Coturnix japonica: one gene and its partner. The protein of the gene in region 1 purifies or fractionates together with the protein of each later gene. This does not show direct contact. Links are inferred from orthologs where the notes say so. Each region holds a gene or a part of one and is shown on either strand. Other genes may lie near its edges.

What was found.
Region 2: the proteins of PDHB (region 1) and PDHX purify together in Homo sapiens (affinity purification with mass spectrometry; 4 studies listed by BioGRID and IntAct, counting the BioPlex papers as one, with this or other methods). This does not show direct contact. The link is inferred for Coturnix japonica from reciprocal best matches to the Homo sapiens genes PDHB and PDHX.

Annotation. Positions count from the first base shown.
Region 1 is NC_029527.1:9,335,632-9,340,145, reverse strand, and holds the start of PDHB (pyruvate dehydrogenase E1 component subunit beta, mitochondrial), read left to right. Parts: upstream 1-1,582; 5' UTR 1,583-1,646; coding exon 1,647-1,745; intron 1,746-1,866; coding exon 1,867-1,974; intron 1,975-2,047; coding exon 2,048-2,110; intron 2,111-2,187; coding exon 2,188-2,223; intron 2,224-2,309; coding exon 2,310-2,595; intron 2,596-3,181; coding exon 3,182-3,292; intron 3,293-3,890; coding exon 3,891-3,982; intron 3,983-4,434; coding exon 4,435-4,514. UniProt on the Homo sapiens protein: The pyruvate dehydrogenase complex catalyzes the overall conversion of pyruvate to acetyl-CoA and CO(2), and thereby links the glycolytic pathway to the tricarboxylic cycle.
Region 2 is NC_029520.1:5,982,631-5,986,444, reverse strand, and holds part of PDHX (pyruvate dehydrogenase protein X component, mitochondrial), read left to right. Parts: intron 1-2,005; coding exon 2,006-2,106; intron 2,107-3,814.

The DNA of each region.
Region 1 (4,514 bases):
TGAGCTACCCCAAGCAACAAACTATGCTATGGAAACAACCGCTTACCAAAACTTCTGGTAATACCACAGCTTGGCATTGCTAAAGGATGAATCCCTCACCTACACACGTCAAGTTTACAATGATTAACACAGTTTATTAGAACGTAACTTCTCCTTATTTTCTCTGCTTCTTTTGGTTAATATTTCAGCCTTCACCTCAGGCAAGAGAGCAAAACACCAACAGTGGCCACTCAGCATTCTCGCTCCTTTATGCCTAATTGCTTCACTATGAATTCCAAGCTCTGAAAGTTTCTTTCCCACACCTGAGGAACAATACAACATCTCAGTTTGGGACTGGGTTCTGAAGCTCCATCTGCCAGATGCTTGAAAATCCCACATCACCATTTGACCCTCCTCATGCAGGAGTCCAAGGACTGCAACTGCACCTGCCCTGCTCCTGCTGGCACCACACAGTCACTCTGCACAGTGTCAGTAGTTGGTTTTACCCACGTATCTTGTTCCATGGCACCAGCAGGCAGCTGTGTGCATGGGGAAACATCTCCCAGCAGTGCTGGATGAAGGCAGGTGTCAGGAGCACATCCTGCACAGCCAACAGTGCTGACACAGGGACCAAGCAGCAGGATGGTGACAAGAATCGTCCCTTCAAACCCAGGCCCACAGGAGGAGTCGGGAACAGCCGCTTTCCATCCCAGAGGAACGCACGGAAGGAAATCTCCCCCTGAGATCGCAATGATTCAGCAAAGGATGCTGGACACGACTGCACCGCTCCACCCGCTGCCCCCAAGTGCCCATCGCCTGGATACCGCTCCCGGCCCCAGCCCGGCCCTCCTGCAGCGAGGGGCAGCCCCTGTTCGAACTGAGGGCCGGGTACAGCCTCACAACATCCCAAACGGGGCCCGGCAGCCCCCAGCCCCAGGTACCCGCAGTCCCACAGGGGGCCCAGCCCCGTTTCCCCCCCCCCAGTGCAGCCTCCGGCCGCTCACAGCCCCGTGTTTCCCTCCCACCCCCCACAGCAGCACAGCACAGCACAGCACAGCATAGCACAGCACAGCACAGCACAGCACAGCACAGCACAGCACAGCATAGCATAGCATAGCATAGCACAGCCCGGCCCGGCCCGGCCCGGCCCCGCCCCTCCTCACACTCACAGTCGCAGGTCCCGGCGCTGAAGCAGAGCCCGGCGATGATGGGGGCGACTGAACCGGGAGCGAAGCAGCCGCCGAGGAGGGAGGAGCGGGGGCGGGTTCTGCCGCGATCCCCTCCCCGTGTCTCCGCCCGCTCCGCTCGGGTGAGGGAGGGAAGCCGCCTCCTTTCACCTCAGGGCCGACAGTGGGGACACCTCGCTCCGCCCCACGCCTCCTTGGCGGGCAGTTGTGTCACTGAAGAGGGGCACACAGATGAAGGGGGGCGGTGGGGGCGGTGCGGTCCCGGCGGCAGGAGGCGATGCCGCGTTGATCGCGCCCCGAGCGGCGCCATGCGAGCAGCACCGAGCGCGGCACGGCCTCACCGCCACCACAGCGCGAGACCGGAAGTGACGCATAAAAAGAGCGCTGGCTGCCAGCGCCAGTTCTCGCGAGAGTTCAGGCAGGGGCCGAGGTAGCGCGGGGGCCGGGCCGTTGCCCGGTGCTATAGAGGACACGGCCAAGATGGCGGCGGCGGCGGGAGCGCTGCGGCTGCTGGTGCCGCGAGGCCGCCTTCTCTCGCCACGCAGAGGCTTCCACCTCTCCGCGCCCGCCGCCATCCAGGTACGGGCCGTGAGGATGGAGCTGGGGCGGGGGGTTCATCCGTACGGGCGGGGTGGTGCGGGTGAGCCGAGGGACGGCCGCCCTGCCCTGCCCAGCACTGCCCGGCTGCCGCTTCCCGCAGGTGACGGTGCGGGACGCGCTGAACCAGGCGCTGGACGAGGAGCTGGAGCGGGATGAGCGTGTGTTCATGCTGGGCGAGGAGGTGGCACAGTACGACGGTGCCTACAAGGTGAGGGAGGGGGGGCCCTGCCGGGGCCGCAGTGCGGGCTGTGCGGGGGCTGACACCGCTCCGATCCTTTCAGATCTCCAGGGGGCTGTGGAAGAAATACGGGGACAAGAGGATCATCGACACCCCCATCTCCGAGGTACGGCGCGGGGCTCCCCCCACAGGGCTCCCCGTGGGCCGAGCTGTGGCGCTTAATGCTGTTTGCTCCTCTTCCAGATGGGCTTCGCAGGAATCGCCGTTGGTGCCGCAATGGTCAGTACGCCCTCAGTCCTAATGAACTGATGTACAAAACGAGCTGCTTTGGTGTTAAAACATATCGTATGGTCTAACTCTGATAGGCGGGGTTGAGGCCGGTGTGTGAATTCATGACGTTCAACTTCTCCATGCAAGCAATCGACCAGGTTATCAACTCTGCTGCCAAGACGTGCTACATGTCTGCAGGAACCATCGCCGTCCCCATCGTGTTCCGTGGCCCCAACGGGGCTTCAGCTGGCGTTGCCGCACAGCACTCGCAGTGCTTCGCTGCCTGGTACGGGCACTGCCCGGGGCTGAAGGTTGTCAGTCCTTGGAGCTCAGAAGATGCCAAGGGGCTGCTGAAGGCATCGATCCGGGACGATAATCCAGGTGAGCACAGTCAGATGACGGCAGTATTTAACTCTCATTTCTGAATGCTTCTTTTCCTCTCCCACCTCATGTAAAAAGATAAAAAGTTTATTCAGCACTTAAGCATTTTGTGCTGTTCTAACCTGCTTGCAGGTACTCATCTAGAAGCTTTGAAAGACACATTTATGAACTCATTGTAAAGGCATTATAAAGGATGAAGATGAGTCAGGAGAAGTACCTGCAGATACAGTACAGTGTAACTCATTTTTTAGAGTTGATGAAGCTTAGATGATAAATTCAGAATCTCATTAAGCAAAATCAGGGCAACCTTCATCTTTCTTTCTCACAAGCACACGTGCAAAATGTAAGGCTTTTTCTGAAGCTAGCAGTTCTACAGAAACATTTCTTAGCCACAGCCTTTGCAGTTTTCCCTTGATCTACCTTTAGAGATGAACTGAAGACAGTATTTAAACTAACTGCGTAGTGAAGTTGATTGACTTTTAATTGTTTGTATTGGTCTTGCAAATATTCTTCTGCGGTACCGTTAATGATAAGTACAGCCTGTTCCTGCAGAGGTATGAATTAATCCAAGTATGTTTTGTTCTAGTTGTGGTGCTGGAAAGTGAATTGCTGTACGGCGTTCCCTTTGAGATGTCAGAACAGGCACAGTCAAAGGACTTTGTTATTCCAATTGGAAAGGCCAAAATAGAAAGGGAAGGTAAGCTGAGAACACAGTGTATGTACCTGTATGTATCCTTACTAACCAAGCTGCCTGGGGACTCTTAGCTGTTCAAAATACTGCTATCATGGGGCACAGGAACACATTTAAATTGTTAAATACTCAAATATGATTTATCCTGTATTGTACTCAATTGTTTGTTCTCAGTTTCTCACTTAAAACTGTACCTCCCTAGAAGGTTTCTTTCTCAGCCTAAGGATGGTGTTGGTGATGTGCAGGGAAGTTCTCACCTTACTATGTCATTTTTGTCCAAAATGCAGAAGATATCATTGTAATTTTTCAGCCTGTTTATAATTTACCAATGAATAGCATGAAAGCGTAAAAAAAAAAATAATCCGAAAAGTATTGAAAACATTATTTAGATCCCTGAATCAAAAGATTATCCTCACATAGTCCTGCTGCCATTCTTCACAGGTATAGAAATACTTAACATTTCATGTAGATGTAAGGAACTTAAATTTGCATGAGAATACTGATGCTACCTACAAAAGAGCCCAAGAAAAATGCTTTTTTGTGTGTGTGGTGGGTTTTTTTTTTTCTGCATTTGTTTCTTCTTTAAAACTTGTTTCTGTTCCAGGAACTCATGTTACATTAGTGGCGCACTCTAGGCCTGTTGGGCACTGTTTGGAAGCAGCTTCTATCCTGGCCAAAGAAGGTGTTGAGTGTGAGGTGTGTGGGGTTTCTGTTGCTTTTCTCTGTACAAGGAAAAAGGCAGAGGGTCACCTTGTTCAGGCTCTGTAGAACATCACTTTATAAACTCCAAGCTTTTGTAAGTGCCTTAACTGCCAGAGTATGTGCATTTCTTGTTTCTGCGTTTGACCTTTTCATCACAAAATCAAGTCAGAACTACCAGAGACTTTCAGATTGATCTGCCTGTACAATGAGCAGAACAATGACAGTATGTAGCAGCATGATTATATACAGTGAGACTCATTAAGCATTTTCCATGCTTGATGAGCCACCAAAAGCCATTCTGAAGCATCTGTCAGGATAAGAAGTAATTTCATTAAGTCTTCTTGTCAAAGTCAGAATAGATTGAAGTGCTAAAGGACACAGTGCCCAAACAGCAGTAAAGGTCACGATCAGATCACAGCAAAACTCACTCAGTGCCTTTTTTTAAGGTTATAAATCTGCGCACCATTAGACCAATGGATATTGAAACAGTGGAAGCCAGCGTTGCAAAGACAAACCATCTTGTAAC
Region 2 (3,814 bases), on another chromosome or scaffold:
ATTTCCTAGAGGGAAAGTCAGTTTCAGTAGAAGTACTAATCATTCAGTCTAGCTATAAGAAATGACTCCTTTAAGTTTTTATCTTTTAAATGTGAAAATAAAAAGCATTTTTAAGTGCATTGTATATAATCTCAGAGAGCTTTCTGCTAGTAAGGCAACTGCTGTTGCAAAAACTGCATTCTCATTCAAAAATGTAAAAACAAAGGTAATGTTTTGCAAAGCCGTTCTTCCCAATCATCTCTACAGTGAAAGCTGATCTGTAATTGACATCAAATCAGGCCCTATTTTGGAACTATCACATTTTGCACTCTATACTGGAAACAACTATGGTCCTTTCTATTACAGTTAGTCACTGAAACCCGTGAGATTTTGAAGCCAGCTGTGAAGTATTCTTGATTAAAATTGCATTTGATTAATTGCCTTCCAAATCTGTGACCAGTTCTTGGCTGCAATGTTTACTGGGAACGGGGGAAAGAATACAAACTCAAACAAGTGAAAAGTGATTTACCCATTTCCTTGAAGTCGTTTCCAGTTGCCTTCCCTGCGTAAGAGTCCTTAGCTTTTTATGAACAGATCCATGTGCCTGGGTTAGGAGTTATGTTTTAAGGGACAAATGTGTGATATAAATATATATTTTTGCTAGCTTGTGCTGTTAGAGTTAGTACTAGGTAGTCTGCAGTAGTGAGAGATCTTCTCAATGATGCAGAATATTGTCAGATTGATTGCAGATTCCAGGAAGAGAAGGAGCAAGCAGATATAGGGTGTTATGCTCCTTTCTTAGCTATATAGGTTATGAAATTTGCTCAACAATTTGATTTCTTAACAGCTATGAGGTACTTACCTAATGGTCTGATATGTAGGGCACTTGAATTAATAATCCAATGGGATTAAGTCACTGATAGATAGCCTGGAAATTCAGCTTCTTGTTGTGTACCGTTTATGCTCTAGTTATTGCAAAGTGCAGTGCGGCAATTAGATTATTAAATTAAAAAAAATGGTGCTACTTTGTGACCTGCCAAGTTCCATAATGAGATTGTTTATGATTTCTAAGGCTATGTAATTGAGGTTTGAATGTCCCTGTTGCTTATCCCTGCAGAGATCGCGAAGATAATAAATACTTGATATTCTTTTATCCTAATTCAGACAATCATACCCAAACGTAGAAACTACTAAATTATAAGCTTTAAAATGTAGGTTACAACCTGCACTGGTATTTTCTGATGCTTATCGTCAAGGTGGCAGAATTAAATAGGCCACATGGTCAGTATTGATCTGCTGAAGGAATTCAGACAGTAACTTTTATTGCATGACAGCAGATATGGGTATTCTTGAAAAGCAGAGGGGTATACTCTGTAATTATTCTATTTATATTCCTGTAATGTAGTAAAAGGAATTTTTAACATTTGTGCATGGTTGTATTTCACAAAGTTTTTTTGTTTGTTTGTTTGTTTTTTGTTTTGCTTTTCTTTCTTTTTTTTTTTTTTTTTTTGGCTGTAGAAGAGATTGAGAAGCCAAGCTGGCAGATACACTTTCCAAAGAGTTTGAAGTTCTTCATATTTCTGTTTGAAAAGCTTTGATAGTGTAGGTACAAGCTATGGAACTATGATACTTAGTCACAGGCATTGCTGCCTATAACCACTGCCTCAAAAACTTTAAGTATCTTACTTAGACTGTTGACAAGCAATGAATAGAGAAGGCTGAGGATTGCATTTGTGGCAGTGCTACTTATCAATTTTCATCGTGTGTGTGTACTTTGTCTTGGAATGCCTTCTGTAAACATTGCTATGTCAATGTTCTACTGTTTTTATTTCTATCTCTGAATCTTATTGGTTGTATATGAAAATGAACAATACAATATGACAGATCACAACAGGGAATCTACTAGCTGTAGCATGTGTTTAAGAATGTAAAAGGGCTGTATTGTTTGCTTAAGTGTCTCTCTTCAATGGTTAAAGAGATATAAAAGCAGTTTAGATCATGCATTAAGTTCTATTATATTTTGCAGGTGAAATGGTGAATGCTGGAGATGCACTGTGTGAAATTGAAACAGACAAAGCGGTGGTTACCATGGAATCAAGCGATGATGGCATATTGGCAAAAATACTGGTAGGGATTCTGCCTGTCTGAGAAGGATGTTATCGTTTCTCTAAATGCATTTGTTTGCATTCCTAGTGAAGGAAAAAACACGTTATTTTTGTTTTGTAGCATCTGTTTAAAGGGACATAGGTTCATAAGCTGCATAACCAGTTTTGTTAGTGTTTTCTTAAGAGTTCTTAAAATCCTGATAGTAACTGGAATGGGAAATAAATAACGTCTCAAAGGCATAACAGTGTTAGTACATGAATCAAATATGGTTTCATACAAAGAAGACTGTCCTTTCAAATAATACTACTAAGTTTATGATGTAGCTAATGGGAAATTAAGCATCTAGTACATCTGAGTTATCAAACTAGCTGAAGTTTGCTCATGTCCTTAAAAAAAGGTAGAAGTTTTATGTTGTTTCATGCCAACTATAATTCAACGTTATCTTGATTTGAGTTCATTTCAGAAAACTGGGTAAATAAAGGGAAGTTAACATTGTTTTTCACCTTCAAATGTTAATCATTAGATTCAGTTAATTCAAGCTTCTCTAACACTTTTGCTTTCCTTGACCACATGCTGCAAGTATCCATAGTTTAAGAAGAAGCAGAGTAAGAATAGAATAGCTCTATCTGCACATATTCTTTGTCTCTCTTAATCTGTCTTCTAATGATCACATCTTGTTCAGTGTAACATGCCATAAAAACTTAAATGAGTGGATGAAAATTTTAGAAGGGTGATTTCAGAAAAGTGATTATTCTTTCAGCAGAATTCTTAAATTAGCACTGACTTTTTGCCTAAAATAGGTAAATTTGAACTGAAAACGGAGGGTGAATAATTGTTTTAAGAATTGTATTCAATACCCATTACTATTTTCTCATTTATGACCTAAGTGAGAACTTCCATGGACTGAAAATACTTTATAGAAAACTTCTACTGTAAAGTGAACCAGCATAAGGTCCATCTACCTTGTTTGCCACTGTTCTGCGCTGACACCAGAGGTTACTCCTCTGTACAACTAAAGCTGTGTCCTCCGACTCTTTCACCCTGTTGTGGTTCACCTGTGCTTTGCTTATTTGTCAGCAAAATTAGGTTTCTTTTAGAACCTTCTTGGATGTGGATACACACAGAGTAATTGAAATATCCCTAAGTGACTTTTTTCATTCTTTTTATATTATAGGCGTCAAGATTCACTGAGATGTATATAAATGGGTTTTCTGGCATTATGAATTTTGAAAACACAGAGGACATAATTTAAAAAGTTCAGGAAGTAAAAAGTTAAGCAATGTAATAACATTTTATTTATTTATTTATTTATTTCAGTCTCTTCCAGTTCTGAGCTGCAGAGGCAGCATAGATTTGTAAAGTATTTTTAAACACGTACTGTTAGAAACACAAACTCTGGAGTTATCTGTGCTGGAAACATGTATTGAAAATATAGAATGCTGGTTGCTGGAGTTTTCACCTGTTTAGCTGGAAGAGCATAGTACAATAGACTCAGCATGAAGAGCAGTGACAGCTTTGAACGCTTATGTAATTATTTATAGACAAAGGCTTATAGACAAAGTCTAAATAGGAGAAGTGATACTGAATCAGCAGGCAACCCTGTTGAATTTCTGCGTGTTATCATAGCATCCTTAAGGCATTCTGGTATCAATATTGAAATAAAGTTTTATACACCACAAATCTATACTAATGCTTATTCTATTTGAGTACCATGCATAAAAATTTTATT